Linked DNA regions of Cricetulus griseus. The protein of the gene in region 1 interacts with the protein of each later gene in a biochemical or structural test. Links are inferred from orthologs where the notes say so. Each region holds a gene or a part of one and is shown in the gene's direction. Other genes may lie near its edges.

The links.
Region 2: the proteins of Cask (region 1) and Atp2b4 form a complex in vitro, tested with the Homo sapiens proteins (2 studies listed by BioGRID and IntAct, with this or other methods). The link is inferred for Cricetulus griseus from reciprocal best matches to the Homo sapiens genes CASK and ATP2B4.
Region 3: the proteins of Cask (region 1) and Sdc2 form a complex in vitro, tested with the Homo sapiens proteins (2 studies listed by BioGRID and IntAct, with this or other methods). The link is inferred for Cricetulus griseus from reciprocal best matches to the Homo sapiens genes CASK and SDC2.
Region 4: the proteins of Cask (region 1) and Cntnap2 form a complex in vitro, tested with the Homo sapiens proteins (2 studies listed by BioGRID and IntAct, with this or other methods). The link is inferred for Cricetulus griseus from reciprocal best matches to the Homo sapiens genes CASK and CNTNAP2.
Region 5: the proteins of Cask (region 1) and Cftr interact in a test that uses a peptide from one of them, tested with the Homo sapiens proteins (2 studies listed by IntAct, with this or other methods). The link is inferred for Cricetulus griseus from reciprocal best matches to the Homo sapiens genes CASK and CFTR.
Region 6: the proteins of Cask (region 1) and Caskin1 interact in a biophysical measurement, tested with the Homo sapiens proteins (2 studies listed by IntAct, with this or other methods). The link is inferred for Cricetulus griseus from reciprocal best matches to the Homo sapiens genes CASK and CASKIN1.
Region 7: the proteins of Cask (region 1) and F11r form a complex in vitro, tested with the Homo sapiens proteins (2 studies listed by BioGRID and IntAct, with this or other methods). The link is inferred for Cricetulus griseus from reciprocal best matches to the Homo sapiens genes CASK and F11R.

The regions. Positions count from the first base shown.
Region 1 is NC_048604.1:119,094,375-119,098,306, reverse strand, and holds part of Cask (peripheral plasma membrane protein CASK), read left to right. Parts: intron 1-2,133; coding exon 2,134-2,336; intron 2,337-3,932. UniProt on the Homo sapiens protein: Multidomain scaffolding Mg(2+)-independent protein kinase that catalyzes the phosphotransfer from ATP to proteins such as NRXN1, and plays a role in synaptic transmembrane protein anchoring and ion channel trafficking.
Region 2 is NC_048598.1:55,393,853-55,398,212, forward strand, and holds the start of Atp2b4 (plasma membrane calcium-transporting ATPase 4), read left to right. Parts: upstream 1-1,184; 5' UTR 1,185-1,560; intron 1,561-4,360. UniProt on the Homo sapiens protein: Calcium/calmodulin-regulated and magnesium-dependent enzyme that catalyzes the hydrolysis of ATP coupled with the transport of calcium out of the cell. By regulating sperm cell calcium homeostasis, may play a role in sperm motility.
Region 3 is NC_048603.1:17,529,292-17,533,223, reverse strand, and holds part of Sdc2 (syndecan-2), read left to right. Parts: intron 1-3,555; coding exon 3,556-3,689; intron 3,690-3,932. UniProt on the Homo sapiens protein: Cell surface proteoglycan which regulates dendritic arbor morphogenesis.
Region 4 is NW_023276806.1:223,807,486-223,811,417, reverse strand, and holds part of Cntnap2 (contactin-associated protein-like 2), read left to right. Parts: intron 1-1,948; coding exon 1,949-2,213; intron 2,214-3,932. UniProt on the Homo sapiens protein: Required for gap junction formation. Required, with CNTNAP1, for radial and longitudinal organization of myelinated axons.
Region 5 is NW_023276806.1:208,423,317-208,428,022, reverse strand, and holds the start of Cftr (cystic fibrosis transmembrane conductance regulator), read left to right. Parts: upstream 1-1,775; coding exon 1,776-2,118; intron 2,119-2,213; coding exon 2,214-2,322; intron 2,323-4,706. UniProt on the Homo sapiens protein: Epithelial ion channel that plays an important role in the regulation of epithelial ion and water transport and fluid homeostasis. Mediates the transport of chloride ions across the cell membrane.
Region 6 is NC_048600.1:44,087,431-44,091,362, forward strand, and holds part of Caskin1 (caskin-1), read left to right. Parts: intron 1-1,171; coding exon 1,172-1,310; intron 1,311-1,390; coding exon 1,391-3,394; intron 3,395-3,873; coding exon 3,874-3,932.
Region 7 is NC_048598.1:21,463,468-21,468,196, reverse strand, and holds the start of F11r (junctional adhesion molecule A), read left to right. Parts: upstream 1-1,797; coding exon 1,798-1,858; intron 1,859-4,729. UniProt on the Homo sapiens protein: Seems to play a role in epithelial tight junction formation. Appears early in primordial forms of cell junctions and recruits PARD3.

The DNA.
Region 1 (3,932 bases):
GTTTCATCTTGATCACATAGCAGTTGAACTTCCTGGTTATTAAGTGTCTAGTTGTGTTTTGTTTGGTTCCGGTTAGTTTTTTGTTTTGTTTTGTTTTGAGACACAGTTTCTCTGTATAGCTTTGGAGCCTGTCCTGTAACTCACTCTGTAGACCAGGCTGGCCTTGAACTCACAGAGATCTGCCTGCCTCTGTCTCCCAGGTGCTGGGATTAAAGGTGTGTGCCACCACGGTGCAGCTAAGTAGCTTAGTTTTTAAAGCTTTCCTTTGATAAAATCAACCATGTCTGATCTCTTAAATACTTGACCCTGATGTGCATTACATGCACTGTACATTACCTGAAGTAATCTGTAATATTTCCTCAGATAACTGAAGATTAGGTATGCCAACTTCAGCTTTCAATGTAACTAGAGAAAGCATCCTCTTTGAGTTGGTGGGCCCATGTATTCAGCACAGAGTAGCATAAATTTGTCTTTATTCAAGGAAGGAAGGAAGCAACACAGAAGGAGGAAGTTGAGAGAGACGAGAGAACAATTAGGGAGGACAACAGGGAAGGAAGACAGAGATAGTGTATGTGTGTCCAATTGTGGTAGGCCTTTTGCTGATGTGACAAATACCTGAGGGAGGGGAACAACTTAAAAGGAACAAAGTGATTGTAGGCTCACAGTTCAGAGATGTCAGTCCGTCGGTAGCTGGCTTACTCCATTGCTGTGGGTCTGTGGTGAGATGGAATACCATGATGGCAAGAGCTTATAGCAGAGCAAAGATACTTACCTCGTGGCAGCCAGGAAACACAGAGAAACCAGGATAAGTTACAGGTTTGAGTCCAGCCATGGTGACATACCAAAAACCAGGCTAGCCAGGGTACAAAGTAAAACCTTGTCTCAAAAAAAAAATCTCTGAAGGACCATTTGACCTATAAAGCAGTTCACCACTTCCTTGCCTCGCCTTTTGGTTTAGTTCTTCTATGATAATCACAGCCACACCCCTTTAAGTCCTTTGTGTTTTCAGTATGGTGTGCCTTTTGCTATATGCAACAAACATTCTCATTGTGAAGTTATATAGACTAACACTATCTAGAACAAGTCTCAGTATCTAAACTGTCCAATTGAATAGTCCGCTGTCTCTTCAGTCATTGAAATATGGCTAGTGAGATGAAGAAACTGAACTATGTCACTACCATTCGTTTAAATGTAAATAGACACATGTAGTTACCCATTCTTTTATCCTTTCTTCCTTCTGCACGGACCCAAGTAAGCTAAGGGCTAGTAAGTTATGTTCATCTTGGGTCACCCTATTAGTTATTTTTCTGTTGTTGTGATAGCTTACAGAAAAAAAGTCTGTTTTGGCTTACAGTTCCAGGGGGTGAGAGTCCCTCATAGCAGGGTAGACATAGCAGCAGGAGCAAGAAGCTGATAGGTCACATTTCCAGCCTCAAACACAAAGCAGAGAGAGCAAACTGGAAATTGGACAAGGCTATGAATCTCAAATTCTGCCCCAAGTGACGTATTTCCTCTAGCAAGGCTCACACTCCCTAAACAGTGGGAGTTTAAACCATCGGGGGACCAAGTGTTCAAATACCTGACTCTATCAGGGCCATTTTTTATTCAAAAAGCATCACCACCACTTCATGTCTTTCCTCCTGGGGCAGTGTGAAATACATCTCACAACACTAAAATATTCACCAAACAACAAACAAGCCAAAGGAAAAATCTGATATGCTGCTGTACATAGATAAATACGGTTTTTAAATTGCTTCTGTGACATTATTGGAAACAGAGGCTATGAGACAATGTAAAGAATCAACGGCTTTTTTTTTTTCTTTTGAGACAAGGTGTCTTGTATCCAAAGCTGGCCTTGGAATTGTAATCCTCCTGTTTGCTACCTCCCAAGTGATGGAATTGCAGCTGTGTGCTATCATACCTGGTTTAACCAGCTTTTAAAAAACAATTGAGGAGCTTGCCTAATATACACAGAAGCCTAGGTCTCAGCACACACACACACACACACACACACACACACACACACACACACACACACACACACACACACAGAGTAATTGAGTTCAGTAACTCCATTGGGAGTGTAACTCATCAATCTAGCCATTTAAACCTCTCATGAATGAAATTTTGCAGATACAACCAGACCTCCAAAGAAAGATGAAGAAAATGGCAAGAATTATTACTTTGTATCTCATGACCAAATGATGCAAGACATCTCAAATAATGAGTACTTGGAGTATGGCAGCCACGAGGATGCAATGTACGGGACAAAACTGGAGACCATTCGGAAAATCCACGAGCAGGGGCTGATTGCAATACTGGACGTGGAGCCTCAGGTAATGTCCAAGCCACCCTGAACCTACTCCATCTTGCCTGCATGCTGATAAGCTCAGATTCTGAAATCCAAAATGTCATCAGAAAGTTTTGGGTCACGGAAACCATTTTCTAAGCCACAGGAAAATTTCAGTTCTCCAGACCGCCTGGGTCAACAGTCTAGGGTGCAAACTGACCAGTCACTGAACTCAGCGCACATAGCATGCATTTGAAAAGCACATGGTTCTCTTCTGCGGCTTATACTCAGGAAGGAGCTCGGTGAAGTACCCATTTGGGTCTGTGCCTGCCAGAATTCCTACACTTCCCCGACCTCAGGATGAGGCTCTGGCAATTTGTTATCATAGCAGCCCCCCTCTGATCTCCTGGTACAGCCCATGCTGGACCAGTAGAGCATCTGCCGATATCTTACATTGATCATTTGTAAGAGACTGATCCTGAGGTCTGGATGTGAAACAGCCATAGCTTTCATGAAAGTAGTTGTGAGTGCTTCCACCCAGGGTTAGGTGAAGCAGGGATTAAGAGCCCAGGTGGCTCTCAGCCTCTGCTATTTCCTTTCCTCGGAGGGGACTCAAAAAGGAGCTAGATACAAAGTTGATTGGTTTCGGGATTTGTAACCAAGTGTTCTGTAGGAAGCAATAGTGATAATAGAACTTGAGAAAGTTGAAGACTTTCATATAGGGATTGACATCACTGTAGCTCAGCAGTAAGGTGGGCACATGCTTAGCATACACAAGCAGAACAGAAATGCTGACAAGCTAATTTTTCATGTCTGAGCATAAGCCAAGTAGAAGTGGGGCTTAAAGCATGAGGAAAAGGACTTGGAGTTGATAGACATCAGAGGAAGTTGCAGAACAGGCTGATGGGGACTCTTAGGACTCAAATGTACCCTTTCCAAGATGGATCTATATCCCACATCTTTCATCACTTACACTAGATACGGAGAAATGTCCCTGGTTGAGCAGGCTCTGCTTCAGCAGAAGGAGACTTATGTACCTGTCCCAGACAGGGAAAAGCCCTGTTGAGGGGTCACTGCATGAGACTTGTTCTCATAGCATATCCCTAAATCAGTAGATTTCATTCTGTGTGACCTGGGCCCTGATGGCTCCATTTCTGGGCTCCAAGAGTCTAACCCATGGCCAACAGCTTCATCCATTTCCATTATAGCACCAAGTGGGGTTCTTGAACTCAAAACTTTGGAAATCACAATAGGATTTGGTTAGGGGCTAGGGAGGAGTACAACCATAGGGTAAACACTGTAGTTACGTAACAGTTAACTTGGACCTATAAAGAACTAAATATGATGATGTGTAACGCAGATTGATCTTTGTTTAACTACTAATCCCTCCTTACTAGGGATTGGAAAAATCTTCTGGCCAGGGGTGGCTAGAGGCAAAGTCTCAATCCTGGTCCTGGTCTTCGACATCCTCTCCTTGGGTTCCACACTGGTCTTCACCTGAACGTCGTTTTCTGCTGGTAGTAATGTCTCTAGCAGTATGCTGGCTGCAGGGCTCCTCAGATCCCTCTGCATTACCTCAGGCCACTTCCAAGGGCTTTCTGCCTTCCCTGCTGCTGCTGCTGCTGCCACCGCCGCCGCCACC
Region 2 (4,360 bases), on another chromosome or scaffold:
GCATTTTTGAAGCTCTATTAATAGGTTGGGGAACCGTAATAATCCCCTTCTTCCCCTATACAGTACTCTATAACCTGTGAGGTTGTGTTAGCCTGCCTTTCATAAGCATGTAAACATGAGTGAGTATGTCTGCTGAGGTAGGTGTGGGAATGTATCCGTCAATGAAGATGTGTTGTGTGAGCCAGCTGATGGTGCATGTTTGTACTTGAAAGCCATAAGGTTCCATGCAAAAGCTATGGGTGGCACTGTTGCACAATGCTGGTGGGTGTGTGGCACGGGGGTGTGATTAACAGTTTATAGGCTGTGTCTAAGTGTGTACGGATGTCTCAGTGTGTACGCGCTAGGATGGAAATGTGTGACATAGTATGATACAGGGATAGGGAAGCACATAGTCTCTGGAATGGGTCTGATCTGACTTGCCCCTGAATCCTGGCTGTCATTAACCAGATGGGTAACCTTGAGCAAGTCGCTCAATCTTTAATTTCCTCAACCATGAAACCAGGACAGTAATGAGTACCTTTTTGAGACTGCCACCAGGGCTAAAAACGATATTGTAGATGCAAAGATTTGGGTGTTCAGCCACACACAGGCGAGCAGCCATTCTATGCCCTGTGGACATGCCTTTGGTTGGGTACACAAGCAAGAGAGAGCAAGATGTGACCTGGGTCTGAGGGTGAGGAGGCACCTATGTGTGTGGGCACCCTGAGCAATTGCCTCGTCTTTGACAGTGAACTCCCAGTTCAGACTGGGTCAGTAGGGCAGATGCCCACAGCCTCCTGAGGTTTCGTGGTCCTGAGTCTAAATCAGTATGAGAATGAGAGGCCTGGAGGAGCTGCAGGAAACAGAATGGCTTGCAGACACTTCCTTTATTTCCCCTCCACGCAGCAACGGTTGAAGACCGCTGCCCACATCCATTCCCACCTCCACCCACACCCACGCCTGCTCTGCTCCCCTTTCAACAAGTAAGAACCAGCGCTGGGAGAAAGCCAAGAGGGCAGAGGATTCCCCCTACCCTTCCCCATTCCCCCTTAAGACGGACCAAGAAGCATCATTCCGCCGCGCCTTGCTCTCGGGCTACCTTAAGAGCTGAGCAATGCTTTGGCCTCCCGCCAAACCCCACCCCCGCCGGCTCGCGCTCCGCCCCTTTCTCCTCCCGCCCTGCTGGGGGAGAGCTGGGGAGCCCCAGTCTGGCCAGAGTTGGCTGGAGCTGTTGCCATGACAAGCATTTTCTTAAGACAGCTCTTCTGTTGAGACCGTCCTAGGCTGGGGGTGGGGTGGGAGTACGAACTTCCTGGGGGACCATCCCTCCGAAGACGGCGAGGTCAGACACCCGCCCAGCTCCCTGCACCCATTTTCTTCCAGGAAGGTCCTTCGCGTGGAAGGGCTGGGGAAGAAGACTCAGTCCACTCCCCCAGCTGTGGCCAGAGAGCAAAGCCAGCATCACTAGGTGGTTTGCCACACTGGGGAGAGCGGTGGGTGGTCACCCCACCCTACTCGGTCCATGGAAACGCTGAGGGAGAGTCCCGCTTGGAGACACCTGAATCTTTGCTAGAAAGAGAGGTAGGTTTGCAGAGAATGAATTGACTCTGGGATTTGCAAACTTTGTTTCTTTCTTTCCTCTCAATAGCTTCTCAAAGTATCCGAATTTCCTCATGCTAGCAAATTCTGGGAGGGTGGGGTGGTGGAATAGGAGACAGAGGTGGGGGGAGAAAATGAGAATGTCTTCAACACTGTATTCTTCCCTGGGTTCTGAAGAACCATCTAATCAAACAAGTGATCCCTTTGCGTTTTCCTCTGGATCATGGGATGGGTGGGGAAATGGAGGGACTGCCTTTTTCTCACCCAAATTAAGCTCTCGGAACAAGTATTTATTCCAGCCGACCCCCATCCGCTCCTGCTCTCCCCCTCCCCCTCGGCTTGGGAACCAGCCGCAGAATGGAAAACTGTTGCGGAAAAAAAATATTTTCCGCGTCTGTTCCCTTTCTCGAAAGCCCCAAAGAGAGATGGGAAAAATAGGACCAAATAAATCTTCAGCGGGAAGGAAGGCCTTAGCGCCAAGGAGGGAGCTCACGGGGGGGGGGGGGGCGCATAAGGTGGAGATAGGCTAGGAGAAGTTGGAGGGTGAGAACCAGGAGTGCACAAATTAAATTTCTTTGGCTTTGCATAGAAACCTCAGCAGTTTCTCTCTGCGGCTTACAAAACATCCTCAGACTTTGACGTCTATAATTAGCTGTGGAAAAAGCTGGGAGTTCCCTCTCACTGCTGTTGTTTGAGTGAGCGTAAGCGTCCAGAACCAACTGTATGAGTGTCTCTAAGGGCACCGCCCCACGCATCTCTGATTCTATAGGGAAGGAAAGAGAAGGGGCACACTGAAAAGTTTTCAGTTTCAAGCCCCAGGCTGTGAGGTGGCCGGCTTGGGCCTCTGGCATCTTGAGAGGGTCCCTGAACAGATCGCTTTAGAGATAGACACTAAGGCTGGAGTTGCTCCCTCTTTCTCCTCTCTCCCTGTTTTGGTAGTGCGGGCCGGCTGGCGTCTTTCCTTGAGATGAGTCCAGCCTATACTCTGGTCCACCTCTAGAAGAATGCCTACTTGCTTCTCTCCAGCCGCGTGGGGAGATGGGAGGAGGGGCCCAGCAAATCCTGCGAGCAGGGAGAGCGCGCCCTGGCCGGAGGCATCTTCTTCCAGGGTACTCCTGCAGGACGCACAATGCCCTCCGGATCTGATGCTGGCCAGGTGGGCTGGTCGGGTGTCAGGTGAAGAAGTCAGGCGGCTGCTGTGACGCTGAGAAGGAAAGAGAAGTGGGGAGGGAGGGAAAACGAATTCCCGTTCTGCAGGCCATCTTTTCCTCCAGTTGGGGTGTGTGGCAGGGAGTCTTCAGATTCACTCCTTCCATGCTTGACACCCCCACCCACCCACATGAACTCCCCTTGTTCCTGGCTCTTCCCACTTAAGAGACCCTTTCCTATAGCACCCCCCTGGTCTGGGATCTCCTTATCTGGAAGGGAGGAGACCAGGGTTATTTCGGGCTGGGACCAGCATGGCAAGGGGCCTAGGGGAGAGAAGAATTTCAAAACAGGAGGACCCTATAATGTGGGCTATGAGAAAAGCCTTGCTGAGAACCTGAGGAAGAAATAGAAGGAGAGGTTAAAAGGTAGCCAGGGAAGCCACCAGAGCGAGCTTTCATTTGCAGGTGTTTGGTAATGGATCAGACCCTTTGGCCACTCTACCCCACCTGTGGTCTGATCCCAACAAGAATTGGTGCCCTTCTTCTATCGGAAGGGGAGGCGGGAATCCCGGGGGAGGGACCAATTCTGGTGGATAAGGATGGCTGCTGCCTGAGGTGTCTGCTTAGCGCGCACTAGGGTGCCTGTTCTAATGGCCATGTGTCCTGGGTCTTGGGCAGCTGGGGAGACCGCTTTTCAGCCCAGCTGTACCCCCACCTCTCCGAGCCGTGAGAACTGCAGGGTTGGGAATACTGCAGCAGAAGCTGGATCCCTCCCGTCTAGCAGCGTCTGTGACCTGCCCTATTGTCAGCCTCTCAGCAGCCCGGCTCCACCCTCTGGCATGGCTCTGCCCTAGTCTGAGTACTCAGAGGAGAACGGACTTAGATGTGGTAGAGGCTTCTAGCCTTCCGGTCCCTGCCGGTGCCTCTGCCCCTTCACTTCTGTTTTCCATCTCCGTGTCCCTGAATCCTTGGTTCCAAGGTCAAGTTGAAGGGACTTAGTTTGCCTCATCCCCGAGACTCCCAGCTTCTAGCACAGTGCCAGGACAAATAGAGGCACTCTGTCAACACTTCCAAGATGAAAGGGGGCAATTTAATTAAAAAAAAAAACATTTATTGGGGACCACATCTGGAGGTCAGGGAACAATTTATTCTCTCTTTCCACCATTTGGGTTCATGGGGACCAAACTCAGGCCATCAGATACTTCAAGGCAGGAGTCCTTACCCACAGATCCATCTTGCTAGTCCCCAGGGGTGGAGTAATAGCACCTGGGAATCACTTGCATGGGGAGGTGCAGGAAGGGGCCCCTAGTTTGCCCTCTGGTCTATAGCCCCTCCTCGCTCTGGGAACCCTGCTCACCACAGAAACGGTGGGAGGGAGTGGCTGAGTCAGGTTTGTCACATTGCTGTAGTCTTTGATGTCAGAAGAGAATCAAACTGAGGGTACTGTGTGGGGAGTGGAGAGGGGGCAAACTAGAACAGTCAGGATCTGCCCAAGGCCTGGTGCTGGGAGAAGTAAGGTGTGTGGTGAATGAAGGTCTTGGAGCAGGAATATCGGACAGCCTTATATCCCACTCACTTTCCATAAGATCTGGAGAGAAGGGGGCTGCTCTGCCAGCCCTGCCCCAGCCACCACC
Region 3 (3,932 bases), on another chromosome or scaffold:
CCCATATTATATAAATATGGGTTCTCAATGGGAAGCAATAAACTGAGAACCTTTGTTATACCATGTGACTGGTGACAACATCACCAGGTACAGTCCGACATAAATAAATAATGGATTTCTGGTTAAAGATGACAAATTGAGCAAAACAAACAAACAAACAAAAAGCCCTGCCACGTTAAAGATAAAGTGATATTGAAAGAATCAGACAAGAACTGACCAGAAAAGTGAGATGACAGTAGCTCTGACACAAGCCACAAAGGTGAGAATCGCAGGGACATATGGTACCAGTGTTAGCAGACATGAGAAGATTGAACTGGCCAACACTGGGAAGCACCAAGACACAAACAGCAGCACAGCACAAGGCCACACATGCCCGGAAATGATGACATAAATGGAAGGTGGGAGTGGTGTTAGCCTCAGGGTGAATAGTTGAAAATCCCTTTAAGAAGCAAGTAGACCCTTCCCTCCATCATAAACAAAGAGACATACTCTGACCCCAGATTAGAACCACAGGCTTGATTATTGAAAGTAAAGCATGGTACTGTTCAGCGGAGTCTCAGAGACTTCCAAAACAATATAGGCTATTGCTGTTGGTTGTTCCTGGAAGTTTAAGGTAAGTCTCTATTGGTAACGACACCATGAATTCTAGACACAAAACCCAGAGCATTTGAGCTGGATATGACCTGAAAGCCTCGAAATCAGGAGAGGACAGGAGTTCACAGAAGGAAGATGAACAGAAGAACTAATTCCAAGAGGCAAAAGAGGGTTTGGCGGTGAAACAGTGTTAGGATACCATAAAACAGAAACGTTCATGAAAGTGGAACTCCATTGTTAGAAATGAAAAAACTGTTATAAAATGAAGTTGCAGAAGATAGTTATTCATCCAACAGGCATTATTAACTACCCACTTAATGTGAGAACAGACACCATTCATTCTAGAAACATTTCAGTGAAAAAACAAATAACAGTGTTTTCTGTGTTAGGGAGGCCCTTCCCATTCATTATCCCTTTATCTATCTGTTTCCACATTTCATCCATGAAAATATTTTATTTGTAAGACGTGTCTTAAAGCATCTTGGTCCATTGGGGTACTGTAACAAAATGCTTCACAGTGGGTAACTTAAAAAAAAAAAAAACAGCATAAATATGTTAAATGTGTTGGTCACAGCTGTGTAGGCTACGAAGTCAAAGATAAAGGCACCCGAAGATGTGGTAGGTGTTAGTGTTTGCTTTCTGCTTCAAAGCGATACCTTCTTGCTGCATTTTTTATAGAATAAGCAAACAACTTCCCACTGGCCTCTTTTATAAGGTGATAATTACTCAATCCCTTCCTTAAAGTCCCTTCCTCTTAATAGTATTGTGTTGGAGACAATGTTTCCACCTGTGAACTTGGGATACGGGGTATAGCATAAGTAGAAATCATTGTTATTACACACACACACACACACACACACACACACACACACACGCACGCACGCACGCACGCACGCACGCACGCACACACACACACACACACGGGAGAGGGGTATTAGGAGCTTAGAAACAGCTCCATGATGGAAAGACAACAGAGAAGGGTGCCACTGATGCTGGCATGATAGTGTGTGAAGAGAAGTGTAGATGGGCCTCGGTGTAGGCTGTTTGAGGCTGAGACTGGCAGGAAGGTCAGAGCCTGAAGAGAGGTTATGGCAGGAAATACTGTGGTTTCTGATGTACAAGACAGTCAGTCGTCTCATTTATGATAATATAAGCAGAGGCTGGAATGGATCTGCGTCTTTCTCCAACTTCTAAAGTGCTCACTTGAGGGCATCTTCTCCTTGACACATCTCTTCCCCTCAGTTTCTCCCCACTCCTAATTGGGTGATTCATGTTTAGAATCATTTTGGAACATGGGGTGGGGTCTTGAAAGCCCTTAATTGAAACTTATTATTCTTCATTGAGATTTTGTTCTTATTAAGAAAATGATTCATTGAAAATAAAATGACTCATTGTAGTAACAAATCAAGTAACAAATGTCAAACTTGGATGGATAATTAGGTAGGCCAGTATGAAAGTGCCATGTATTTTTGGAGCCGTCATTATTAATGACTCATAATATTTTGCACATACAGTTTGCCTCTAAGCATATATCACACCTGTGAATGATACATTTTCACACACCCCATAATGACATTTTGGCTAGTGATAGACTGAATATACAATGATAATCCCCCAGTGTTATATCAGGAACTGAAAAATTCCTATCAACTGATGACACCATATAAATAATAATGTTATAGTTCAGCCCATTACTCATGTTCATGGTGACATGAGTGTACACAAACATGCCAGTCATATACAAGTGCAGCAATCTACTTGGCTATAGTAATCCTTGGTAATAAACAGCAAGTTTGTATTTACTGTAGTATATCCGTAATCATGAGTTCACAGTGTACTCCTATTTATAAAAATGTATATTACACTCCCTGAAGGAGGAGGTCAGTTTGGAGGTCTGGACAATCTATGGGGCCACTGGTGGTGGATCAGTGTTTACCCCTGGTACACAGATGAACTTTGGGAGCCCTCTCCACACAGAGGGATGCTCTCTCAGCCTAGACACCCTGGGGAGGGTCTAGGCCCTGCTCCAAATGATGTGACAGACTTTGGGGATCCCCATGGAAGGCCTCACCCTCACTCTCTGGGGAACAGAAAGGGATGGGGATGGGGGGGTTGGTGAGGGGGCGGGGAGAAGGGGAGGGAGAGGGAACTGAGATTGACATGTAAAACAAGCCTGTTTCTAATTTGAATAAAAAAAAAGAGAAAAAAGTTTTTTTTTAAAGTATATTATAAAAACAGTCTGTGGTTGCACAAACAGCGGTCATCTATATTCACACTCACCAAATCTCTTAATTACACTGTTTTCTCTTTTCTTGGTTCCTTTTGGATCTGCCAGTAATCAAATCTAGGATCTTACAGCTAAATCCACTGGACCACATCCCAGCCTTCTCATGCTTGATGTGTTTCTGTGTCAGGGATATTATATATTTACACATGCAGCTAGTGTGTACTGAACCTTTTCTCTTGGTTAAAGCACAGACGCGGTGATGTTTCCACAATGAAATCAACACCATTGCTCAGCAACCCCATTGTTCAGTGACACGTTACTCTGTGTGCACATTCGAGAGAAAAATTATCAACTTCACCTTGAAGATTCTGGACTCGGTGTAGTAAATTCCCAGATCCAGAAATGGGTTGACTGGGGCCTTTTTGAGACATGGTTTCTCTGTAGCTTTGGAATCTGTCCTGGAACTCACTCTGTAGACCAGGCTGGCCTTGAACTCAGAGATCTGCCTGCCTCTGCCTCCTGAGTGCTAGGATTAAAGGCATGGGCCTTTTTAAAAAATGCCAAATACTATATATTTCAGATGTATTCTGCTATTTCTGCACAGGTATACATGTTCTGAAGCTAAAGGAGACAGCTAGTAATATTAAAAAGTCAGCTCTGGCCTTGCGTGGCCTAATAATGTACATGTATGTGTCGTGAGTCACATGCTCAGTTCATCTTCACTTTTTTCCTAGGAGCTGATGAAGACGTAGAGAGTCCAGAGCTGACAACATCCCGACCAGTTCCAAAGATCTCGTTCACTAGTGCTGTTCCCAAAGTGGAAACCATGACACTGAAGACACAGAGCATTACGCCTGCTCAGACCAAGGTGCACTTGCTTGGCGTTGCGTTAGCATGTACTTGTGAATATTGCTTTCTTTTGACTTCACAGAATAGTCCGCTTGAAATTATGTAGGGGCAAACAGCCCTTCCATTCTATTGCTGTAAATGGCTCTTTGCTTTTTAGCAACATCTTACGGTTGACCTGCTTACTATTCTTATCATGTAGGCCTAACTTCCTTATGAATATACTGTTTTTAACATGACACTCTCTCTTGTGGAGCTTCTTTTG
Region 4 (3,932 bases), on another chromosome or scaffold:
GGAGGGAGACTGGAGAGGGTGGAAGAGTAACCACAATCAATTAGATACATATATGGAAGTGTCAAAGAAGAATAGTGAGGTTATATAAAAGAAGTATCAGAGTAATAGATAAATAATAGGTTCAATAAAACTAATTTTTGTTCTTTGGTGAAATAAAAGGGTGGGCCACAAAAACTCATGTTGAGTTTCTTCTAGATCCCATGGAGACTTGTTTCAGATTTCTTGAAGAAGACCAAATAATGATGATGTTTCAGCAGCCTGAATCTCTATGTACTGTTGGGTAGCCCCAAAGATAATAACTTTTTTTTTCATGGAGCTTCCCTATAGCTCTGCTTACATTTTCAGTCAAATATCATGGCAGGCAGCTTAGTGTGAACATGGTTCTGAAGCATTATCAGAGAGCTACAGGCAGAAGGAAAGAGAGACCCTGAGCCTGGCATGGGCTTTTGAAACTTCAAAGCCCATTCCCAGTGACACACTTCCCCTGACAAGGCCACGCCTATCTTTCTAATCCTTTCCAACAATCAGTCTTTGGTGACTAACCATTCAATGATATGAGCCTATGGGGCCATTATTCAAACCACCACACACTATGCATAAATGCTGACCAATATGTGCAATGTAATGTTTATACAAGCATTTATATACCCCACATGCTATTCACACAAATAAACACATAGACCACATAGTAGCACACACATACCATGTATTATTCACACATACATACGTCACATACAATAATTCATAAAGACATGCACATAATATATACATATATGAGCATGCATTAACATAGCAATTATTACATACAAGCACCTATACTCCATATTCCATGCACAAAACAATATTCCACATGCTTATATGCAACATACTATAGTTATATACAAACACACAAACATATATCCCACAAATATTCACTCACATTAACAAACACAGTCCATCTATTATGTGCTCAGACAAACACAGACACACAGACACACACAGACACACACAGACACACACACACACACACACACACACACACACACACACACACACACACACACTTTTTAAGCTTTGGTTATAACATCACAGTGGTCCTTTCATTGTTCTCAGAAATTGGTGCTTTAGAAAAAAGGTGTAGAATGCAAAGCATCCAAATTATATTCCTATTATTTGTATTTTAAAAAGTAAAATGTTAGTTCAATATTGGCCCCAGATATATCTATTTGGTACTCAAAACACAGAGCACCAAATAGGAGGGGCTCATTACTAAGGCAATGTTAACTACAAAGCATGTTGAAACTAGAAAGGACTTTGAATAGCTGAACTATTTTATAAAGTATAAGGCATCTACAAATATATCCTGTTTTAACACATTATTTGTGGGCAACCACAGAATAAATTTTGTATCAAAATCTGCACACACACTGAAAACATTAAGAAAAATCATGAAACAGAACATTTTGCCACCATCCCTACAAAGTTAACATTTTATAAGAAATTTGCTCAGGACCTTATTAGTTGTTGTTTCAGTGAAATTCACTCAGCTCCCTAGAGACTCCCTTCCTTCTCATACCCACACCCTGCATATATATTATATAATACTATACATACATGTACACATACATGTATATATAATTGGAGGGGAGACACAGGGATAATAATGTCATCAAGATCCTTAAAATATGATGATAAGATGAAAACAGAAGACCATCCTGTGGTCTCCCCATCATAGCAGGCTAAGAAACTGTCAGCCTCTTTACTGGCATTGCTTGCTACACTTTGAACTAGATGTCCATCTATTTCGTATTGGGTCTAATACTCCAGGAAGTTCCATCAGGATCCATGCACCCACAAAATAAGGCTGGGATGCTAGCCGTCATGTTTGGTAAAACCTCCATCACTCCCTGGATATTTGTAGAACCACCTCTTTGTCAGTAGCCTCACATAGATGCTTGTTTGTTTGTAGGGGAATCTGAGTTTCTCTTGCGTGGAGCCCTACACAGTACCAGTCTTCTTCAATGCTACAAGCTACCTGGAGGTGCCTGGCAGACCGAATCAGGACCTGTTCTCAGTCAGTTTCCATTTCAGGACTTGGAACCCCAGTGGTCTCCTGCTATTCAGTCACTTTGCAGAGAACTTAGGCAACGTGGAGATTGACCTTGTGGAGAGCAAAGTGGGCGTCCACATCAACACCACACAGACCAAGACAAGCCAAATTGACATCTCCTCAGGTCAGTGATATTGGCTTGACATTTGCTTCTGAGACTGCTATTGAAAGTTCCATAGCTGAGGCTATTTGCACCCCCTTCTCCTCTCTCTCTGGTTCACTCTATTTTTTATTGGCACTACAGGCTAATAAATATATTTTGGAATTTTAAAAACTTTTCATTAATTGCACGATATTCTGCTTAAGAGAAATTCAGACTTTAGGGTGTGGGCAAGGAAGAAAGTTGATTGACTTTGAATACACCATGTGAATATTCTAATCATTTTAGATGCAATATGATATATAGTAGAAAAATATTATTCCTCAGCAAGCACAGTTTATATGTAAAACTCAAATAATGTTTGTAGTGACATGACGGTGTTTGGTGTATTTTGACTTCAAAAGCATTCAAATAGCTTTGCTAGTTATAATATTATACTAATTTAATTATCAGGTTAAAGTAATGGTTAATTGCCTCAATCAAAACTCCAAAGTGTCACTCCTAGACCTTTGCCAGTTGTTAGGAAAAAGTAAGCCAGAGGTAAATACAAAACAGAATAGCAAAGTATATGCGTCAACTGAGGGAAGGTAGGCTTGATTGCATTTATCAGTGTTTTAAATGGACATTGTTATGATGTCATAAGATGAAGCTTAGGGTAAACTATAAATCAAGACTTAAGAGTCCTGGAATATCCTTGGATTTATATGGTATTAGAAAAGATGACATTGCAAAGTGAGATGTTATTAACCAAGGAAAAATAGGATACAAGTTGGAATAATGATAAATTACATTTTTAAAAAGTTTCTGTAGTTACTCCTTGAATTAGGAACATCAGTTACATGATACCGTGGTATACAAAACATCAACCAAAAATAGAGTTAGATGACTTTGTCTTAGCTAATGATTTTACGGTACACCCCGAGATGGCAACAGGTGCATGAATCAGATGGCTACATTGCATTTGGGGCACAGAGAAAACAGTGACATTTAACTTGCAAATAATAATTCCGATAATAGGTTGGAGACAAGAAAGTAGCATTTACTGAGCACTTAGTACAGATAAGCCAATTACAAGGCAAGGAGGTCATGACAGATAAACCAGGTGTGCAAATCCCTCTGCATTTTGGAACAGGAAATGATCATTCTGTAAGTATTTCCAAATACCTGACACCCTTTCTAGCACACTTAATTGCTCCATTCATCTCTCCTGTCTTCATGCCTGCTCTAGGCTTCAAGCTTCTACGGGGTTGAAGCCATACATAGTCTTCCTGTACCTTCAGCCTTCATATCTTCCAGAAGGGATGTTCCAGGGACAGTTCTGAAGTTCAGGACTTACTCCTTGAACTAGCTCTTAGTCAGATACTCTGCTAAAGGAGCCTATCTCCTCATACAATGGGCTCTGTGCATCTGTAATGTCAACCTCTATGGACGTCACCTGTTGACCTGATAACTGTTCTGAAGGGTTGCTTGTGGATTGTCTAAATGCCAAGACACCCCTGACTGTATTCTAATTTTATATTATTTTTTTTTATTTTTTCTGCATGTTCAGTTAAAATTATTAATAAACCATTTTTTATCATTTTCTTCTCTGGTAGCAGCTTGGGAGATTCAGAGTAAACAGGAAATATCTAGAGGCCCAGAGTAAGATAAAACAAATATACATAAATGATTTATACAGTTGAAAAGCAATCTACTGCCAGGATTAAAAGCTCTTTTCTAATGTCTAAACACATAAAAGTGTTA
Region 5 (4,706 bases), on another chromosome or scaffold:
GATAATTCACAAGTAAACACTCCCAGTGTTTAGATGCTGAGGCAAAAATCAGGCCAGAACATTTTAATTTTTGATTTTGTTTCTTTAAAAATCTCAGACTCTAACCTTGGAACACTCAGCCCTAAATGGGATATCCATCAGATCCCTCCCCTGAGGCCTCAGGAAACCCTGCAGAAGAGGAGGCAGAAAGAGTGTAAGAGCCAGAGGGGAAGGAGGACACCATGAAAACAAAGTGCTCTAAATCAACATGAGCAAAACTCATATGAACTCACAGAGACTGAGGCAGCTTGCACAGGGCCTGCATGGTCTCACCAGGTTCTCTGCATGTAGATTAATTATGGCTTTTAGACTAGTGCATCCCTGGGCGTGTTTCTTGCGCCTTCCTTCTCTTGGGTTCTTTTCTGTTTGTTTTTGTCCAATTCCAATGTATTAATTTTTGTTTTATTATATTTTATTACTATTCCTTGGAAGCATGGTTGTTTTCTAATAAGAGACAGAAATGGAGTGGATCCAGAGAGAAGGGCATGTGGAGAGAAAGTAGGAGTAGTAGATGGAGGGAAAACAGTAATCAGGATATAATGTCTGGGGGTAAAAAAAAAAAAAAAAAACTATTTTCTTGTCTTTTTTTGTTTTGTTTTTGTTTTTGTTTGTTTGGTTTTGGGTTTCTTGAGCCATGATTGTCCTGGAACTTGCTCTGAGACCAGGCTGACCTCGAACTCAGAGATCAGTGCCGCCACTGCTTGGCTAAAAAGAAAATTCTATTTTTAATAAAAGGAAAAATAATTCAAACTCTATTTTACTTGCTTTGGCTAAATAGGGTTCAGGTATTTAAGTGTTGGCCCTTTAAAACCCACCACATTTTCATGTTGGACACAAAATTCTCACACCAAAAGCTTGGAAGGGGAAGGCACATAGCCTGGAAAACTCTCAAAGCCCCCAGAGAGCTAAAGACATAGGCATTTCTCTCAGTGAGCTCTTGGTGAATAGGATACCTTTGCTTCAGTGACTTTGGGTTCCTGTCAGATATTTTGCTTAGCAGACAAGGAAATCTAAAGGACAGTCATTTAGTTTAGACAGTCCACTTGTCATTTCTGTAGCACACACACATAAAAGCCTTCAGAAACACAAAACACTACAACACACACTGAACACATCCTGAGTGGGAAATAGGTAAAGCAATAGCTCCCTTTGTCCTCAAGGACTTTGTCTATAATTATGGCACATCGGAGGCATTGTGATACATGTGTCTGACACACATGCCTCCTAGGGGAAGCAGTTGCTCCCCATTCCTTGGTAGGGCTTTTGCTGTAATTATGACATATCAAGGAATTGTGACATATGCCTATGACATTCATGTACCTCATAGATGTCTGTGACTCTATGGCTACCCTAGAGACTTCAGTCAACAGAGCTAGGTCTTGTCCAGCTCTTGAAGGGCTTGCTGAGGTGGGACACCTCGGACTACTGTGGGACTTTGCACCTTTCTGCATCTGTACTTTGATTCCGAGGAGCCACGTTTTCATCTCCTCTTCAAAATGAATCTTGAAAAGTTAACTGTAACTCGGCCAAAAGCTACAGAGACAGGAGGAAGAGGGAGAGAAGGAAAAGGAGGAAAAAGAGGAGAAGATGAAGGTAGCAGAGGAGGGGGAAGAGAAGAAGGAAAAAGAGAAGAAAAAGAAAGAGATAAAGGAGGAAGAGAAGAAAGAGATGGAGGAGAAAGTGAAGAAGGAGGAGAGAGAGAAATAGAAGACTGGGAAGAGGGAGAAGAAAGGCTCATGGAAGCCAAGGAGGTCAGTCAGTGGTCCTTGGTCACACATAAGAAGCATATTAGCTCCCGCAGATTGGCCTTGGTTTCCCCGGACCTGGTGCCTGAGCCGTCACTGATATTGCTGCTGCCAGAAGGTAGGGATGTGGGGGGGGCGCTGGAGGGCGCGGGGAGTGAGCGCCAGGAGAAGGAGGCGCGGGCGGCATGCAAGGCGCGCAGGAGGAAGGAGCGCACGGGGCGGGCTTGGGGCGTGGAGAGCAGGGACTGGGGCTGGGCTAGGCAGTGCTGGCTTTTAACCTGGGCTACGGAGGCGGGGGAGGAAGGCAGAGAGAAGGGGAGGCGTGTGGGACCCAGTTGGTTAGGGGGGAATTGGAAGCAAATGACATCACCGCAGGTCCGACAAAAGGGGAATCGCTAAAAACATTGACTGGGTCCTGGATATTCAGAGGTCGAGTCCAACCTGAACGTGTCCAGACACAGACCTCAGTGCACCACGGAGACATCATGCAGAAGTCGCCTTTGGAGAAAGCCAGCTTTATCTCCAAACTCTTTTTCAGGTGAGAGGGTGCCAGGGGATCTTTGCAGGTGTGCCCATGCCAAAGAAGGGAATGCATATGGGCAGTCTTTGGGAAAACAGGAAGAGATTTTTTTGTTGTTTTCGTTTTGTTTTTAAAGGTGTGTTGTCATTCATTGTTTTAAAGGAAATGTGGATTTTATAGAATAAATTGAAGCTGATTAGATGGAGAACAAAATGTACTTGCAACTGAGAATCAGACTTGCAACACCTAAATATTTGCAGGGCAACAGTTTTCTTAATTTTTTTTCCTGAAAAATTTGTAAGATTTTCTTAATTAAAAATCCTTAAGGTTGGTTCATTGTTTTTCCCCAGGAAGCTTGTCTGCAGGTGTCATACCTGTATGTAGTAGGTGTTCAGAAAACATTTGCTGACTGAATTTTTTTGAGGAAGTATATAGTACTTTTTGCTATTGTAATATTAAGTCTGACATGCTCACCAAAAAGTAATGTAACCATAGTTACATTACTTTTTAAGAATGTGAGCAAGTCAGTTAAAATATTTATCTTTAAGCAGCAGAAATATCAAAAGCAAAGAATTTAGGAAAGCAGTAACCATGGGATATGAAGCTGGGGTTCTAGCTACTGAAGCTATATCCAACTGACACTTGGGACATTGTTCTCTTATCCTGCATTGCACAGCATGAGCCAAAACCTCAATAGAAAAGGATTTTAAAATTAGATTTTAAGTTGGGAGACCTAGGCAAGACTAATTAAGCACTTTGTATTTGACATGCTCTATGGCGCGGCTATTCTGTTCCTCTAGTGTGGATGAACGAAAAGAACAGCTCTCTCATGGGAGCTCACTTGACTCACAGCTCCTCAGGGAATCTAAACTTTAGCAAACTAAAGGACCAGAGTGTTGCATAGATTGTAAATGTGCCCTGTGGTGTGGGCAGGAGGCAAAGCTCAGCTTTCAGTCTTCTTGCCTTTGCCGCCGCCGGTGGGTCTAGAGCTCAGGACTAAGAGGACAAGTGCCTCTGTGGGAGAGCTCCTCCCAGTGGATGGGAGACAAGGTCTTTACCCTTTGGAGTTACCTTTGGTATTCACAGTGCTTTTGTTACTTCATCCATAAATTCAGCTTATCAGCCGGGATCTATTTTCCTACTACTCACAGCAACAGAGTGTTAATTGTCATAAACTGCACACTTTTATGAGATCATTTTGAGGAACCTACATGTCAGTGCCTCACGTTCTCATGAGAATGTCTCTTGTGTATTTTCCCCACTAAAGTATTAAGAAACTTAGATTGTTCATTTATCAGTGTTTCAAAAATCTCCCCTCTTATTATACAGCTCATTTATTTTAGTGTACCTTCCAAATGCTCTTAGGTTGATTTGGAAAGGAAAAATATTATAATGGCTGTGAAATTTGTTAAGCACATACTCATTTCTGTCCTTCAAACGATTTCATAATCAGTTGCTTTAAGAATAGGTGTGTTTTTAAGAGTTAAGTTCTTACTATTTATAGGCTCTGACATTCAGCTACAGTACCAGTCAGTGATTAGAAACTTCTTTCTGAACTATCCTTTTCAAAGATGAAAACCCTTTTTTTCCCATTGGACTAGGCATTTCTGCCTAGTGTCGAGGACAGTGGGCTCTGGGTTCCTATTGCCTGGTTTCAGGATTGCTTAATGGGCAAGTCCTTTCACATTTCTGTGTGACCTGACTTTTAAAACTTAGAGGCTGTCAATGTGCATATGACATAGTGGGTTAATCTGCTGAGTAGTTATGTCCTGGGCTTACTGAGGAAATGCTAGCTGCTATGGTTATTTTCTACATTTTATGTAAGACAATGAGTTTATTTCTGTTGGTTATAATTTTTGACTATCAACCTTTTTTTATGTGATGTGTATGTGTATTATATATTTGAGAAATTAATGTAAGGGATAGTCTCATCTAATATGGACTTACTAGATATTTAGGGGAAATCCATATGCTCAGATCTCCATAGATGCCTTAGAGTTTGAGTTTCTGAGTACTATCCCATCAGTTTTAGGGTATAAAAGACTAAAAAAACCTGAAGGCCATGTTTCCAATATTAGGGTCTGGGTTATGAATTATATTAAGTATCAGTTTAATTATCTAGGTTATATCACTAAAACCAAAACAAGCTTAATAAAAATATATTTTTGCAAGTGTTTACAGGAAGGAAAAGTTTGGAAGTCATTGGAAGTATTCTAACACAGAAGACAATTTTACCATGAAAATTTCAAGTATTTTGTGACTTTCACGGAAAATAGTACATTAACTAGAAGATGTTATAAATTTATGAAAAAAGTTGTTTTAAAACAAGTGGTGATATATTTGCATAGAATTTATGATTCATATATTAGTGTGATTAATTTATAAAAATCTTTGATTTTGAG
Region 6 (3,932 bases), on another chromosome or scaffold:
GAGGATCATGAGGTAGCCCGCTAGCAGGGAGCTGTTTGGACACCCTATTTGTCCATTATGGGGGCAAACTCCCTAGGCAGGCTCATGGGCTAAGACTAGGGGCTGTGAGGGGAACCTGAAGTCAGGAGGGTATGCCTTCTCTATTCGTGGCAAGCACCTCTATAGCACTGTCTTTCACTCATGTGGATTGCAGATGAGCTGGTGTCGAACATGCTTGCCACATGCATGCACACAGGTCCCACTGCACATGCTGGCCTGTGCTGATGGCTGACAACCCTCCTCTGGTGGCTTCTGCACACAGTGGCTTTTGCTCATATGAGGAGATGCCTATATTTGGGCTTCTGGGCTGATGCTGACCCTTTGGGTTGCACACCAGCTCTGCTCTCCCATCTGTCCATGGGAGAGGCGATGCTGGCTATGCAGAGCCTGCCCCCTCAGGGCCCTGGATCTACTGGCAGGCAGGGCTGTACTCATCTGCCCCACCCTGCCATTCAGTCAGCAGCTCAGGGATCCTCCCAGGAGCACATCTGGGTCTCATGGACCTCACCTCACTCTGTCACCTGCATGACTGAAGGTGCTGAGTGCGGCTGCAAGAGTGGTGTCAGCTGGGAGCGTGGGACGATTGGGCAGTTCTTGGTGGATACGGCATATTTGCACATTCCTGGTATGGCTGTGTGGTGAATGTGTAACATGTGCGTGATCATGCATCTGCTGTGGGTGGGGAAACATTGTGAGGGTCATCCAGAGAGTGCCTGTGTTTTGTATAGCTGGAAGCAGCATGCAGGGTGTGCAGTGTGTGTACATGTATTTTATGTGGCATTGTGTGTGTGTCTGTGTCTGGTGTATGGGTGCGTCTCCTCAGGACAATGCCTGTGGCCATCTGATTAGGCAAAGAAGTACTTTATTATACTTGAAACTGTCCAGATGATAGGAATCCCAAGTATGTTTGCATGTGTTAACCTGTGCGTATCCTAGTGTTTGGTTGTCAGGAGCTGGCCTCAGTTCCCACCAAGGCTGTGCCTAGACTGTCTGCAATACTGACATTTTAGGCCTGTCTGTTTGTCCTTCTGTCTGTCTGTGCCCCACAGGCTCATCTTCTAATAGTTCCAAGTAGGTGGTCATGGTGTGAGCAGCCAGCTTGGGCTGCCCCTCTCTGTCCCCCTCTCTATAGGCTAACCTGGCTGTGTGGCTGTCCATGATCGGTCTGGCTCAGTATTACAAGGTGCTGGTGGACAATGGCTATGAGAACATTGATTTCATCACTGATATCACTTGGGAGGATCTTCAGGAGATTGGCATCACCAAGCTGGGTAAGGTTCCAGCCTGCCCCTCCATATCTGCCTATACCCAAAGGTCCTCCTGACCAGCCTCTTCCCCGTCCCCAACTCAGGACACCAGAAGAAGCTGATGCTGGCTGTGAGGAAACTGGCGGAGCTGCAAAAGGCAGAATATTCCAAGTATGAGGGGGGACCCCTGCGCCGAAAGGCACCCCAATCACTTGAAATGATGGCTATTGAGTCACCACCCCCACCTGAGCCTGCTGCAGCAGATTGCCAGTCTCCTAAGATGACCACCTTCCAGGACAGTGAACTCAGTGGTGAGCTGCAGGCTGCCCTGTCTGGCCCAGCTGAAGCAGGTGCAGCTGCTCCTGAGAAGTCCTCCAACCACCTGCCACCCACTCCGAGGGCCACCTTGCGACAGGAGTCCAGCCTGGGTGGACGGGCTCGGCACATGAGCAGCTCTCAGGAGCTGCTGGGTGACGGCCCCCAAGGGCCTGGCAGCCCCATGTCACGAAGTCAGGAATACCTGCTGGATGAGGGACCAGCCCCTGGCACACCACCCAAGGAGGTGCGGTCTGGCCGCCATGGCCACAGTGTCAAGAGGGCCAGTGTGCCTCCGGTGCCTGGCAAGCCACGGCAGGTCCTTCCATCAGGGGCCAGCCACTTCACACCCCCACAGACACCCACCAAAGCTCAGCCAGGTTCCCCTCAGGCTCTTGGAGGACCTCACGGTCCAGCCACAGCCAAGGTGAAGCCCACCCCACAGCTTCTGCCACCAACAGACCGACCCATGTCGCCCCGTTCCCTGCCTCAGTCACCCACACACCGTGGCTTTGCCTATGTGCTGCCCCAACCAGTTGAGGGTGAGGCAGGGCCAGCTGCTCCAGGACCTGCACTCCCACCAGTACCAGCAGCTGTCCCCACACTATGCCTGCCCCCAGAAGCTGATGTGGAGCCTGGGCGACCCAAGAAACGTGCCCACAGCCTGAACCGCTATGCAGCATCTGACAGCGAGCCGGAGCGGGATGAGCTGCTGGTGCCCGCTGCTGCTGGACCCTATGCCACAGTCCAGCGGCGCGTGGGTAGGAGCCATTCAGTGAGGGCTCCTGCTGGCACTGACAAGAATGTTAACCGCAGCCAGTCCTTTGCTGTGCGGCCACGTAAGAAGGGGCCCCCACCACCTCCACCCAAGCGCTCCAGCTCAGCCATGGCCAGTGCCAACTTAGCTGATGAGCCGACTCCAGATGCTGAGACAGAGGATGGCCGGCTGGGGGTCCGGGCACAGCGCCGGCGGGCTAGTGATCTGACCGGCAGTGTGGACACAGGCAGTGCTGGCAGCGTGAAGAGCATTGCAGCCATGTTGGAGCTGTCTTCCATTGGGGGCGGGGGGCGTGCTATCCGCAGGCCCCCTGAAGGTCACCCCACCCCTCGGCCTGCCAGTCCAGAACCGGGTCGGGTAGCTACTGTGTTGGCCTCTGTGAAGCACAAAGAGGCCATTGGGCCCGATGGGGAAGTGGTGAACCGGCGCCGCACACTCAGTGGCCCAGTCACGGGGCTTTTGGCCACTGCTCGCCGGGGACCTGGGGAACCAGCTGAGCAGAGTCATTTTATGGAGGACAGCACAGCCCGACAACGGCCTCGAGGTCCAGCCAAGGGGGAGGCAGCTGTGGAGGGCCCTCCCCTTGCCCGGGTAGAGGCCAGTGCCACACTCAAGAGGCGCATCCGGGCCAAACAGAGCCAGCAGGAGAATGTCAAGTTCATCCTGACGGAATCTGACACAGTCAAGCGCAGGCCAAAGGCTAAAGATCGTGACACTGGGCCTGAGCCACACCCACCACTGTCTGTGTATCAGAATGGCACAGCCACGGTTCGCCGACGGCCAGCCTCAGAGCAGGCTGGGCCCCCAGAGCTGCCCCCTCCTCCTCCACCCGCTGAGCCCCCACCTGCTGACCTCATGCAGCTGCCTCCACTGCCCCTGCCTGATGGCAATGCCCGGAAGCCTGTGAAGCCACCTGTCTCTCCCAAGCCCATTCTGGCTCAGCCTGTGACTAAGATCCAGGGCTCACCTACACCTGCCTCCAAGAAGGTGCCACTGCCAGGCCCTGGCAGCCCAGGTAGGTACAAAGAGCCAGCTAAGAAAGAACACAGGATCTCGGGACAGATCCCTTGCCTGCTACCCTGTCTTATAGTGTGATTTCCCTTTCTGGGTTTGATGAAGCCCAGGTAGTGTGGGATAAGACTGTCTACAGATCTCCCTATCTATCCTCTGTGAGACGACTCTGCCACCCTATAGTGGACATGCCTCTTGTCCAGTGCAGAAGACCCAGAGTAGTGGCGCAGATGCAGGGAGACCTAGCTGGAGTTCCCTGACACAGAGAGGGTAGCTGTCCAGAGAGGACAGCAGTGCCAAGGTGCTGAGAGAACCATTGTGGCTGGATACATCAGGCCATATCTGAAGGAGTTTAGGGAGCATGACGTGCTAGGGAATTGCATACCCTAGCGGCTGTGGTGAGAATAGGGCCGAGTACAGCATCTCTCCTGCTAGATGGAGGGAACGCTGTTTTTATTCTATGGGTTGTTCTCTACCCTGCAGAAGTAAAGCGCGCTCATGGCACGCCACCGCCTGTGTCACCCAAGCCTCCGCCGCCACCC
Region 7 (4,729 bases), on another chromosome or scaffold:
TGGGCTAAAATGAGACCATCCCAAACAAATCCCAAAACTGCGTAGAAGTCTTTCTCTTTAGGACTTTAGATTTGTTCCAGAATGAATAACAACTTTGAACCTGGCAGGTACCCAGATACTTGTTTCAATTTAGTAGTACAAAGTTGCGTCTTTTTGGTTATCTAGGGTCTTGTTTACTCTATTATGGCTTGCCAACCTTGAAGTTAGAATTTTTTGTTGGTTGGGTTTTTTTTTTTTTTTTAAACAGAACTGCTGTTTTTATTTATTTGCACTTCCCTATCTCACCTAGTAGATGCTTGTAGACATGTTGTTATTGTTGCTATTGTTGGTGGCTTTTTGAGACAAAGTCTTGCTTTGTAGCTCTGGCTGTACTGCAATTTACTATGTAGATCAGGCTGGCCTTTCACTCAACAGAGCTATCCACCTGCCTCTGCCTCCCTACTGCCAGGAATAAAAGCAGGTGCCACAAAGCCCAGCCCAGCAGGCACTCTTTACTGCTAAGCAATCTCTCCAGCCTGGTTTTTATTTTTGAAATGGGGTCTCTTTTAACTCTGGCTATTGTCAGACTTGCTACCTTGTCAAGGATATCCTTAAACTCTAATTCTCCCGCCTCTGTCTTTAACAAGTGCTGGATTTCAGGCAGAGACACTACGGGTTTGATTTTATCTCCTTCCCTCTGCCATCTTCTCCTCCTGTTTTTCCTTCTCGTCCTCCTCTTCTTCTAATTTTCATACAGGGTCTCCTGAAGCCCAGGCTGCCTACAACTCTCTAGGTACCTAAGACTGGCCTTGAACCCCCAATATTCCTGTATCTACCTCTTGGATGCTGGAATTACAGGCATGTGCTTTGGTGTGGGACAGCCCATTTTATAGGAAGATCCACAGTTTGAAGCCAGCCTCAGGTATGGAAGCCAGCCTTGGTCTAAGAAAACAAAAGCCAAGCAGAATGTAAGGCCCAGCAAAGGAGCTACTGACACATGGTATCCGTATAAAAGACATAACTCTAGTCATCCAGGGAACTGTGGGTCAGCTTTAAAATCTGAATGTTTTCTGTATCTCTATTAGGTTTCTTTTGGGAAGAATGTAACCAGGAGGACAATACTCTCCCAAACCTCTCCCCATACCTTCCCATATTAATGTGTTTTTCACTTACCAAGGGGCGGGGGTGGGGGGAGGGATTATGCAGCATTAAGCAACTTAAAAGTAAAGGGGGGGAGGCAGAGGCAGGTGGATCTCTGTGAGTTCAAGACCAGCCTGGTCTACAAGAGCTAGTTCCAGGACAGCCTCCAAAAGCCACAGAGAAACCCTGTCTTGAAGAAAAAAAAAAAAAAAAAAGTAAAGGGGGAAAAATCGACCAAGCAAATTCCTGCATTTTAGAGTCCTGTGACATTCCCCACCTCCTCCTTAGAGATAACTATCAAGAGCCCCGGGCCAGTCAGAAAGGCTCTAGCTGCAAACCCTGCTGCCAATCGGGATGCCCTTTACCTGTTGAGAAGGAGGCTTTGGCTTCCTTAAGCGACTGTCTTCTGGGCCAACCAGAGGTCTCTAGGAAAGAATGGCACCAATCGCCCTCAAGAGGGAGGAAAGTTCGGGCTGCACCTGCGTACGGTGAGTCAGTCGTCGGAGCTCCCTCTCTCTTCACCAATCAGAACTTGGGACAGCCGGGCGCCGCCCACCAGGCGTGGAGAGAAAGGCGGGCAGGGCTCAACCTGGCGGCTGGAGTCCAGTCCCAGCGCGTTGGATCGCGAAGCTCTTCCCAGCCCAGTGGCTCGCCCGTCGCGTGGGAATTGTAACTGTAATGGGCACCGAGGGGAAAGCCGGGAGGAAACTGTTGTTTCTCTTCACTTCCATGGTCCTTGGTGAGTTCTCGGAGTTTTTGGAGGATTTGGTGGGTCGGGTCAGAGGTTGGCGAAGGCGCACCCCACGCGCCAACGGGAAGGGAGGAGTCCAGAAACCTGCTTGCTCGCTTGCCTCGCCCTAGGAGTCCACTTTTACGCCCCGATCTGGTCACTCTACTTTCCCCTCCCCCACCTGGAGACTGCCTGGCTCCCCTCCCCCAAGCCGGTGATCTGTGACCCCACCTCCTACACTGTGGCGGGGAGCCTTAAAAATAACTGAGAGGGTCCACGGTTCTGCGTCTTCCCTTGAAGCCCAAGGACCCCTTCCACACCCAAGTCTTAAGCTACCCATTCCCCTCCATATGCACCTGAGAGGTCGTTCTCCCCTCCGACATCTCCGGGGACCCAGAGCCTCTCACCCGCACTCTCTTGGCTCAAGTGTCCTTGGAGGAAATGTAATGGAGGTGGGGGTAGGGAATGTTTCCTTTCCTGGCTTTTGCAGAAGGGGTCTCTAGCTCTTGTTACATTGTGGACCTTTTGGGATTAATGCCGGGGTTCAGCGTCTGAAGAAGAAATGAAATCTCTAAAAAATTTCTCAAATCATAGCATTGAGAATTCCTTTCTTGAATAAATAGCGAGGAGTCCTTTAATTAAGGTTGTTGACTGAGTGACGATTCCCTGGGGGAGACTGGGACTATTGGTTGGCTGGATCTCCTCAGAGCCAGAACTCTGCCCTCCCTCTTGCCCGGAATGAGTTTTTTTTGTTTCTTTGTAGACTCCCTTTCCTGAGAAACAACCAGGCTCGCATGCTGGGGCATGACTCTCTCGAGGTGTGTTTGTATGAGGCCGAGAGTGAGGTTGGTTGGTTTGTGCCTTGGTCATTGTGTGTCAGCACCTGTATATTTATCTGTCTGATTTTCCCCGCCACCACCCTTCAGAGCCGAGGACCAAAACCAGGGACTTGGGTGTACTATGTCTGGTTCTTGAGTGGCATACACAACTATTGGGTAGTTTTGTTGGACCGTGTTCTCTATGAATCTGTTTCAAGGGTAAAGGAGATGAAATATTACAGTATTGGTGTATTCTAAAGGCAGTTCGTTTTGGTGAATTTTGGGAAAAGCACCCAAGGTGGATAGATCATGCCTTTGTGTCGTTACAGAACTAAAAACTCTTGGGGTGGACTAGACAATAGGTGATCCCACTCCTCTCCATTGTACAGATAAGGAAATGAGTCTTGAGAGAGGAAATGACTTTTCCAGTTTACAAGGGGGTAGAAGCTGGGGATGGAACGAGTCCTCTGACTCCTGGAGATCCAGCCTCTCAGGCATGAGGCAGGCCCAAGAACTATATGAGCTACTGCTGTCTTATTTAAAAAAAGATCCTTCCATGGGTCTTCCTCTCTCACGTTTTCCTTCTACTTGTCCACGTCTGCATTCCTCCTCTTCCTTCCTTTGCCCAGCCATCACTTATTTCATTTTCGTTCATATCTTAGAAATGTTAGCCACGCCCATATTCCTGTTTTGTATACAGTTTCTTCTGGATCAGTGACAGCAGTTGTTAGGCTTATAACTTCCTGGAGTTGCTTCCTTCTAACCCCTTCCTTTTCTTTTCCCCTAATTTCCTGCATTGGTTCTACGGCATACTACTTCTGAATGGGTTGTGACAATGGCATTTTGAGCAAGCACCACTATTCAAGGGAGCCTGGGGTGCTGTTGCATATGCTTGCCCGGGCAGTGGCTCCTAGGGAATAGCGTTGGGGGTGGGGGAGTGGAGGAATGGACCCAGAAACTTTGAAATCATCAAGGTAGACCTGGGGGCGGGGAGTGCCTTGGTTAGTGCAAATGAGGTTAGAAATGGTAGCATGGGCCACCTCAGCAGGCATCCTGGCTTTGCCTTTTTTCTCTGTCTTGTGACCTTAAGCTAGTGGCTCAGTCTCTTCAGCTATAAAACAGGAGTAATAATACTGGTCCTGCATTTGCCTTGGGGATCAATGGAGATAATAGCTACATCACATAGACATGAAGGAATTACTGCTAGAACTATTACCCCTTTGGATTTTGTGAGGGTGCAAGAAGGCTGTCCCTACAAGAGTGGGTCAAAGGGAGCAGGGAAATTCCCATGGTGGGGCTTTATTTTAAAGTAGGAGCTCTCTGGGAGCCATCTGGTCTGAACCATAAACAGATTGCCACTGTCCTGTTCTTTTTTTTTTTTTTAGATTTTTATTTATTTATTATGTATACAACATTCTGCTTCCATGTATATCTGCACACCAGAAGAGGACACCAGATCTTATAATGGATGGTTGTGAGCCACCATGTGGTTGCTGGGAACCGAACTCAGGATCTCTGGAAGAGCAGTTGGTGCTTTTAACCTCTGAGCCATCTCTCCAGTCCTGTCCTGTTCTTCTTGAGTCATTGGTCATCATGGGCTCCGCTGTCAGGAGGGAGAAGAAAGGGCAAGTTAAGTATGAGCTAGGTGAGTGGAAGACAGCTCCAGCCTGAGGTACTTAGTGGGCAGGGATACACAGACATGCTGGGAGAGCTGAGCTTGGGGAATGTGAAATTGGTGAGCCAGAAATTGGTGCATTCCCTTTTCTCTAGAACCTGAACTTGGGGAAAATGGCATGGGCCAACTTTTATTGGATCCAGAAGGGAGGAAAGTAAGCCAGGGTTGGAATGCTGACCTTTGTTCTGCCTCCTCTTACCTGGGTGTAGAGATCCCATACTTCTAAGAGGGGTGGACGACTACCATGGCTTTGGTTAGAGCCCCGATGTTTCTGCTGGTGTTTCTGAAGAAGTTTCTTTTGAATATTTCCAAAGTGCTGTTCAGGGGGCAGACTTCCCTCGAAACTGTGGATCGGTGGATGAGTCATGCCCACTGCTTCCCCCTGGG